2 linked regions of the Ovis aries genome follow. The protein of the gene in region 1 purifies or fractionates together with the protein of each later gene. This does not show direct contact. Links are inferred from orthologs where the notes say so. Each region holds a gene or a part of one and is shown in the gene's direction. Other genes may lie near its edges. The genes, in order: CHCHD4 and TOR1AIP1.

Evidence for each region.
Region 2: the proteins of CHCHD4 (region 1) and TOR1AIP1 purify together in Homo sapiens (co-immunoprecipitation; 3 studies listed by BioGRID and IntAct, with this or other methods). This does not show direct contact. The link is inferred for Ovis aries from reciprocal best matches to the Homo sapiens genes CHCHD4 and TOR1AIP1.

The regions. Positions count from the first base shown.
Region 1 is NC_056072.1:58,006,833-58,011,390, forward strand, and holds the start of CHCHD4 (mitochondrial intermembrane space import and assembly protein 40), read left to right. Parts: upstream 1-1,459; 5' UTR 1,460-1,606; coding exon 1,607-1,628; intron 1,629-4,558.
Region 2 is NC_056065.1:60,482,717-60,487,279, forward strand, and holds the start of TOR1AIP1 (torsin-1A-interacting protein 1), read left to right. Parts: upstream 1-1,469; 5' UTR 1,470-1,688; coding exon 1,689-2,169; exon of another isoform or gene 2,170-2,217; intron 2,218-4,563. UniProt on the Homo sapiens protein: Required for nuclear membrane integrity. Induces TOR1A and TOR1B ATPase activity and is required for their location on the nuclear membrane. Binds to A- and B-type lamins. Possible role in membrane attachment and assembly of the nuclear lamina.

The DNA.
Region 1 (4,558 bases):
AAGGTATGGTGGCGGTGGTCTGAGGGCACGCCTGTCTCCTGACACAGCCCAGGCCTCCCCTGGCAGACCCTGCATCTGGGGGACCACCTCTAGGTGCACCGCTTAAGGCTTCTCGGCCTCCCAAACAACTCTACACCAGGCAGGGTGTACTGGGGCTGTGGGTGACGAAAGCCCTGGCTTCTCAGGGGGTGTGGAAGGCAGAGAGGACGCTTGGGGACAGAGGAGGAGCCTGGAAGGGTGTAACAGAGCAGCGGAGAGTGGCTAGGACGCTCAACCAAAGCAAGAGGGAGGGAGTGCCCCGGCTGGCAGGGCTCCGAGCTGGCTCCAGACACTTTCACAGAGGAGCGAAGCCTGAGTCACCAGCTCCTTCTCCCAACACCCTGGTGGGAGGTGCCCCTCGGTTTGTTGAATGAATGTTTGGCTTAAATAGAAAGGTTCCTGAGAAAGGCTGGCTGCTGGCAGGAGGCCAGCAGCCTTTCCAGGGGCACCACCTTCAGCGAGGGGCTCTGCAACTAAACCCCTGCTAGGAGGACGAGCGCCCGGCCGTAGGGAAATGCCCCCCTCTGCCCGCCGCCCTGAAGTCTCCGCTCCCCACCTGGCCTGCGCCCCTGTATCATAACAGCCCCGGTCTTACATACCCCGCTGGGCACGCAGCTCACCGCCCGCCCCGTACAGCACGTCGCTGGACAGCTCCAGCAGGGCGGATCGGCTTCCCCACCGCCCCCGTGGACTGGCCACCTCTCTGCGGCCCCGTCCGGCCCTCCAAGTCCGCACACGTGACAACCCTGAAGGTCCAGGAGGGAACCGGGAACGAAGAGAAGGGCTACGCGGAGGCGCCCCGCACCAGAGGACCCCCGAGCCGGAGCCACGGGCCAGAGGCCCGGTCCCCAACACCGCGGGGCCCAAGGAGTCGGGCAGGGCTGAGCAAGACAGACGGCACAGCTGCCGGAAGGCGCGGACACGGGTGCGGGAGGGAGGCGGGCGAGTGGACGGGGGGGACCACCCGGCAGGGCGCCGCGACACGCCCGCGGGAAGAGGGGCCGGAGGACCGGGAGGCCTGGGTGTGGCCGGCGGACCAGGAGACACTCACGTTCGCGGCCATGGTGGGGCCCGGTCGCCGCCCGCCTCGCTCGGCCCAGCGCGGAGTAGGGTTTACGCCGCAGCACTGAGTCCGCGACCTCTCGCCCGCCCGAGAGCGGCAGACAGCGGCGCAACCCAGGGCCCGGGACGCGCCACAGAGCTGCCGCCCAGGGAGCCCGGGCTCTTTTGGCCCTCGCTCGCCGTGCCGCACTGCCTCCTGGGAAACGTAGTCCTGGGTCGGGTGCTTTCCGAAAGTTGCCACCCACTGACGCCTCACAGACGCGCCCGCGCACTGCAAGCCATTCTGGGAAATGTAGTTCCTACTGCCTGGGGCGTGGCCGCGAGGCGCGCAGCCTGCCGGGAAATGTAGTTACCGGCTGAGCGCGCCGAGCTGGAAGCGCCGAGGCAGGCGCGCGGCGGGCAGGCCTGGGGGGCGGGTCCGTGCGGGCCTCCGAGCCGCCCGCCCCGCCGCGGAGAGGTCACGGCGTGAGGCGACCGCCGCGAGGTCGGAGCGCCGGGCTGCATCATGGCCTACTGCCGGCAGGAAGGTAGGAGGGCGGGCTGCGTGGAGACGGCCTCCGAGGCCCTGCGACACGCGGTCCATGCAGCGCCCCCACTGAGGGCGCGGGGCACGAGTTCCCGGGAGGAGGGTGCGGGTTGGCGGCGGGGTCGCCAGCCCCACTTTTCGGATGAGAAAACCGAGGCCCACGGAGCAGTAAGGCTGTCCCGGGTCTCGGAGAGACTCGAACCTGGACCTCGGAGGGAACAGCACGTGGGGAGACTCGTAAACTGGGCCCGGGGGTTAGAGCGGCGCGAGCGCGCTGCCTGAGGCTGGTAACGGGAAATGTGCTGATTACTAATTATGTTGCTACGCCGCTCGCCACGCACCACGTGTTCCCGTTTGCACCGCCTCTAACTGACCCGGAAGGTCGCCCCTCGGTGGGCGCGACGCTGGCGGTGGGAGTGCCGCCGGCGGGCACGGGTCAGGCCCTGCGCCAGGAGCCTTGAGTGGCCTGTCTCGCAGCGACTTTCCTAAATCAGGCCCTGCTCTTATCCCAAGAGTAAACCAAGACCCCAGAGGTGACTTGGCTGAGCCACGCGGCGGGCTACTCGCGGAGCTGGGGTTGGAGCCCGCGGTCTGATTCCAGAGCTTCTCCGTCTGGTGCCCAGAGGACTCCAGGGAGCCCTCCGCTGGGAAGACATCCCGCAGAAAAAAACAAAAGTTGGTCCCCGCCTGCGGTCTCTCACCTAGGAAGTCTCCAGGCCGCGGTTCGCGGGCCTCCCCGCGCAACCACGAACTGTCCCTGAGCTGACACCCAGGCCCTCCAGGCCCAGTTGTCCAGTCTTGTAAAATGAGAAGTTAGTCTTCATTCATTCCGCAGATATTCATGAAGCACCTTCTCCATGCCGGGTGAGGGGGAGGGTGGATATCTGAGACTGAAGTTCCAGAGAGAAGTGGAAGTCCCAGGAAATTCTCTAGTGAATACTCCAGCTCCCTCAGTTATTTCAGGAAATCCTGAGCCCAGAGATGGAGGTGACCTGCCCAAGGTCATGCTTCAATTAGGAGAAGTGTGTCAAGCTTCAGCTCACGGCTCAGTTTAAAATACTAAGCCTTTGTGCCAGTGGCCTCCTCTGGTGGCTCAGATGCCAATGCAGGAGACTGGAGTTCAGTCACAGGGTGGGGAAGATCCCCTGGAGGAGGAAAGTGAAAGTGGCTCCGTCCTGTCCGACTCTTTGTGACCCCATGGACTATACAGTCCATGGAATTCTGATAAAGGGCAACCCACTCCAGCGTTCTCACCTGAAAAATCCCATGGACAGAGCAACAGTCCATGGGGTTGCAAAGAGCTGGACACGACTGAGTGACCAATTTCCCAGTACCCCATTCTGCCTCAGGAACCCTCCTTCCCTGGGCCGCAAAGCCACGACACAGTGATGTCTCTCTCTGAGAAGCAGGTCCCATTGATTGATACTGAACTCTGCCATGAGCAGAAGTCCTCTGCCCTCACCAGTTTGTTAGAGAGTAGGTCTCTAGTTTTTTATTTCATCGTCCTGAGTCTAATTTACTCCTTTGTGTAGCAGATTTTTTTTAGTCTTTTGAGTATAATGAGGCTATAATCCTCATTCTTGTGGGTTCCTAGGAGTCACATGTTATCTGGGAAGCAGAGGTAAGTGTTCAGACCCATATCTTTTCCTGGATCAAAGATCACTTTCTTTCTTTGGGGATAAGAATTAAAAGCACTCCCTTTAGGCCTTGCGTGGTTTTTATCTATCCACGCCACTGTCCCCTCAGTCCCGAACTTCTTGTTTTTCTATCCATGGATTCCTTATGCTTCCCATGGGACTTAGAGCACTGACCCCAGCTCCTTCCTGATTAAGGCCTGTGTGATTGAGGCCTGACCTGGCTCCTGCTGGTCTCTACGCACCTGTCATTGTGCAGCCAGGCCGGCCTCTGGCTATTCCCTTGGCCTGGTGCGTCCCTCCCCCGGCTCTTCTCACGGCTGCTTCGTCATCCTTTAGGGTTCAGTGCAGATGCCACCTCCTCAGTGAGGTCTTCCCTGCCTTCCTGTCTTCCACATCCTAAACTCTCGGAAATTCCCTGGTGTACTTTTGTCCTCTTCCGGCTTGTCTGCGTTGCAGCAGGCTGAGAGCATTAGATGGGCCACACTCCCCGCAGCGTCACCCAGTGGACCGGTACACACGGCTGCCCTCTCTTCTGAGGGAATCACTTGCCCATGCACTTGACTTCAGGGGTCCGCCCCCCAGCCCTGGGGTCAGTCAGGGCGTTAGGCAGCATGGACTCCGGCCGGCTCCCTGGCCCGGGGCCGCCCTGCCCCTGTCGCTGTCCTCCTTCCAGCTGGCCTCGCTCTTTCCTGTTCTGTCAGGAGACAGTCACCGAGCACCTGTGATGTGCCGGCCCTGACCACATGGCAGAGGCCGTTGGCACAGGTGGGTAGTCTGCCCCGTGGCATGGTGGAGGCAGTGGAGGGGGCAGGCTGGGTGTGGCAAGCGGTGATGTGTTCTAGGGGAAATGAGACCACCCGAGCAAGGTGTTATTTTTGTCCCTGTGACCTGCTTCATGGTGATAGCCATCTCTCCTCCATACTCAGCGGGGCCTGGGATCTTCTTGTCTGAGCTCAGAGCTCATTTCCCCACTCACTTTTCCAGCAAATACTGATTGCTCACTGTGTCGCAGGCACTGTTCTAGGCTCTGAGCTACTGCAGTGAATGGAACAGATGCACCCTTGCCCCCGAGGAGCTGACATGTCAGTCGAGGAGATGGGTGGTAAACAGATAAGTAATTGTGGGTGAGAGAAGGCGGGTTAGAGGCGATGGGGAGGGATGAAGGAAGGTGCCATCTGAGCAGGAGGTCTGAAGTCAGGGCAAGGTGGCTGTGAGGTGTCTGAATGCGCTCCTGGACGACAGCACGGCCTGGCAGGTCCCCGAGGTAGGCGTGCACTCAGCAGCTGTTGTGTGC
Region 2 (4,563 bases), on another chromosome or scaffold:
AAAAAGTAGGATCTCTCATGTTGCTATTCCTTCTGTTTCTTTGGCTGTATTGTATATAATTAAAAAACAACAACAACAAAAAAAAAAAAAACAGAAAACTAAACAAGAGCTTCCATCAAGCAAAAACCTAGGTGATTCTAAAGCATGTAATTACTTGTGTCTGTGGCCAAATTTATGGCCTATTAGTGAAAACACAAGACATCGTTAAATTTCATTAAAATAAAATATGTGCCCCCAGTTTGGACAATGAGTTGCTCAAAAACATTCTAAAGTGATTTTAAATACATGAAAGAGTACACACCTTTGTGGCTCAGCTGGTAAAGAATATGCCTGCAATGCGGGAGACTTGGGTTCGATCCCTGGATTGGGAAGATCCCCTGGAGAAGGTAAAGACTAACTCTAGTATTCTGGCCTGGAGAATTCCAGGGACAGTACACCATGGGGTCCCAAAGAATCAGACATGACTGAGCGACTTACACTTCACTTCAAAATTTTCAGGCCCATTCACTGTAACTGCTATCCAAATTGCAAATTTTAAAATCTAGTCACTAAAATCAATTATGGAAAATCGTCCGAGAAGGGGGTGTGTATGTGAAGGCAAGATTATCCGATTTTTCAATAACATTCCCTCAGTGTGTCTAAGTTTAGATATTTGCAGATTTTCCACATCTGCAAATACGGTACACAGAAGTGAAACAAATGGTTTTGTCATGTTTTCTTATTCAGTAACTAAACGCAGAAAAAAATCCTGTATCACACGCAGCATATCAAGTCATGCTCAGAAGCAAAGTGAAAATAATGGATCACAACTGAAAATTACAGTGCTCTCTTTAATCAAAGTATTTGTTCACTTCTCACTGCCCATAGCACAGCACTAACAATGTCTCTGAACAGTGTTGCTGAAGTAGAGCCTTTATACGAAATCAGGAGTAATACTGTTTGCTGCGTACATTTTGTAAATGGAAATCCACCCAAGTAAGCCTGTAGATCCGATTTTGTACTCAACAAGTGACTTTTAAAACCTAAAACTGGTAAACTGCTTTCCCAAGGAACTTCAAACTAAAATTTTCTCCAGGGAAAGATGACACCTGCGAATATGTCTTATCAGCCCTGCAAAGGGACACTTGGAAAGGTACGGCGAAGGCAAGAGTCGATCAAAAAGGCTGCGGGAAAACTGCGCAACAGCCTGGGGCTGAGGACCGAGACTTCTCCACCCGCCTTTCACTCCGCCTTTCCCAGCGACTCTGTGCTGGGGGCCCGGCCGGGCGCCTCTTGCGAGCAGGCAACAGTTGCCAGGAGCAGCTGGACTGAGGACCGGCAATTTGCCCAGCCACTTGTCCCTTCTCCGTCTTCCCTCCCTCCCTCCCCGAAGGCCGAGGACAGCGACGCCTCCTCGCTCTTCTCCTCCTCTTTGGTGCCTTCAGCCAGGAGGCGGGAGTGACCCGCGCGGCAGCTGACCCAGCACAGGCACTGCCTCTCCCACAGCCCTCGGAGCACACCATGGGCCCAGGGGCCGGTTTGCAGCACAGCAGCGACGACGCAGGCGGCAGCCCCGGCGACGCTCAACTGCCTCCCTGACCGCCGACACCACCGCCCTACACCCCGAAAAACGATCGCCACCAACGGCAGGAGACTCTTAAGGGCACCGCAAAACACCGTCGCGAGCGACTCAAGCTACGTCAACAACTATGGCAGGCGAGGGGCGGCGGGCGGAGCCGGAGAGGGAAGGATGGGCGCTGTACGTCACGCCCAGGGCTCCGCTACGGGAGGGAAGGCCCCGGCTCGCCCCTCAAAATGGCGGCAGCAGTGACGTGCCTGCGTACGGAACTCCTACGCCGTCGCGCCACGGCCGGCGGGAAGTGAGGTTCTCAGAAGAGCCGCCCGAAGTGTACGGCGACTTCGAGCCCCGGGCGGCCAAAGAAAAGGCCCGGGTGGGAAGACAGATTCCGCTAGAAGGGTTCCGGCCCGATTCGGCGAAAGAGGAAGTGAGAGAAAGCGCCTATTACCTTCGGTCTCGGCAGCGAAGGCAACCCCGACTCCACGAAGCCGAGGAGATGCAGACTCGGAGAGCTACTCGCCTCCAGGAGCAGCTGCACTCGCCGCCGCCTCCGATACGACCCTCTCCGGTTACGACCAGAAGAGGATTACGGGACTCCCATTCATCCGAAGGTGAGACAGTCGGAGGTAACAGTGTCAGCCGCGAGTCAGGGAGGGAGTGCCGTGGGCGGGTACGCGCGAAGGGTGTGCGCGTCCTGGGCGGGCGTGTGCCTGCCTTGAGCTCGTCCCCTCTGAGCTTCTCCGGTTTGGACGTGAGCCCCCACCCCCGGGCCGCCCCGTCGGCTGGCGGGAAAGTGGCAGGGCGGGGGCGCCGGAAGGAAAGGCGGTCGTGCGTAGTGACCTGAGCACAGTCGAGGAGCCGCGTGCTTCCTTGGGCATCAATTTAGAGGTGTCAGGATTGCCCGTTTTCTGCAGGCCTGCACTTCGGGGCGGCGAGTTAGGCAGAAGGCAGGACACTGAATCACTCAGAGTTCAGTTTCACATCGGTTTCATATCGGTTCTCTCTACCCTGGGATGTTTCTGCCAAAGCCACTTCCATTTCCTCCTTTAACTCCGAGGCCAGAAATCCTTCAGTGAGATTTGGTCCTCATCTAACCTTCCAGTCTTTCCCCGTCACTATCCAGGAGGGGAGAAAGGAAGGGGAATTTCGTGAGTGGCCGTTTGAGGACTAGCATAGTTGATGAATTGATTTGAGATCCCACCCACATGGTTTACACTGAAACGGGGTCAAGGCAGTCATCCTGAACCTGAAGCTTCCCAGTGTGTGATAAACTTGAACTGATCACTCTTTCTCTAGTGTGGTGGTCTCTGCCAGAAATTCGGATGTTGGGGACCGTCAGTGTAACCTCAGTAGTTAAGCAGTAGCGTGACAAAGCAAGACTTTCATTAGTTTTCATCTAAATGGGCCACAGGGTTACTGACAAAGTGATTGTGTAGTTTTAGGAAAGTCACAGATGAATGAATCATCGCCGGTAATGCATCCTGTCCCACGCTGCCCCTATCCCATCTAACACTGAGTCACAGATGGAGTTTCATGTTGGCTCCAGGTAGCGCACCTGTGAGGTAAAACCAAGGGGTTTGAATCATAATGGGATTACATAGTTGGTAATAGACCATTGGTGGATATGATGAAGAGGAGGTGGATTTTCTCAGTTTAGAGCTGAGAAATAGACTGCACATTGCCTGCTGATGCCTGAAGTGCTGACACAGTAGAAGTGTTGATGATTTTGGAAATTATGTTAAAGATATGTGAGTTACTGTTGGGAGTAATACCAAGACCGTGTAACCCCTATACATGTTTTATCTCTTTTAAGATTATAAACTTCTGAAGACAAAGATCCTACATATATACACAGATCCTACATATATATTTGAGGGACCATGTTATACTTCAGTGTTTATGTTCTTTCTGTATCTCCAGTAGCTAGAAGAATGCTTTGGAAGGCAAAGGAAATATGCTAAGTTGTATGACTTCCACGCAGGCCTATGCAATTGTAAAAGCTAGTTTGTTTGTTTTTTGTTTAACACACAAAGGATTTACTTCTATTTTTAGTAAATCTATGAGAATCTACACGTTTTTCATTCTTCCTCTTTAGCCCGTCTTTTAAATTTTCTAGAGTAATATTTCTATATTTATTTTGTAAAGCATCATTGCTGAGTAGTTTATTTTTATGTTGTCCTAAAGAGTAGTAAGAACTACTACTAGTTCAATTCCCAAGTTTTGGTAAACCTAATTTTTTGTTGTTTAGCGTCCCCTAAGTCGTGTCTGACTCTCTTTGCCACCCTATGGACTGTAACCCACTAGGCTCTTCTGTCCATGGGATTTCCCAGGCAAGAATACTGGAATGGGTTGCTATTTCCTTCTCTAGAGGAATCTTCCCTACCCAGGGGTCAAACCCAAGTGTTCTGCATTGGCAGGCGAATTCTTTACCACTGAGTCACCAGGGAACCCCTTAATTACACATTTCTGAAGAGATTGAAACTGAGTGGGCCCCTGTGAGTCTTGCCATTGTTTGGAGGCAGTACGATAGCCATTATGACCTTCTCTGAGTTCCAAAGAGCAGGTTCCAACAGTCGCTAATCAAAGTAAGAACAACCAAGAACTCACCTGATGCAAGATTAAAAGGCCCAGATTAATCATCAGGATTAGGAGACTGACCACCTGAGATGAGAGTAAGGGAGTGCAAACCCTGCTCACACCCTTATCTTGTCAGACACCCCACCTTTGACCCACTTATAAAAACACTCATGAAGTCCTCTGGGGATGGGACACAGTTTTTCGAGGCAGAAGCCTGGGGTGTCTCCCTTTGCCTGGCAAAGCAGTAAAGCTGTCCTTTTCCGCTTCACTCATGACTCTGTCTTTGGGATTTGATGTGGCGCCCGTGCACAGAGAGACCAACTTTTCATAACAATGAATTACTTGCATTTCTGTTTATATATTGCTGTTAATATACATAATCTCTACTCACTTTGCATATTCTGAATTTTATAATTGTTATTTGTGTT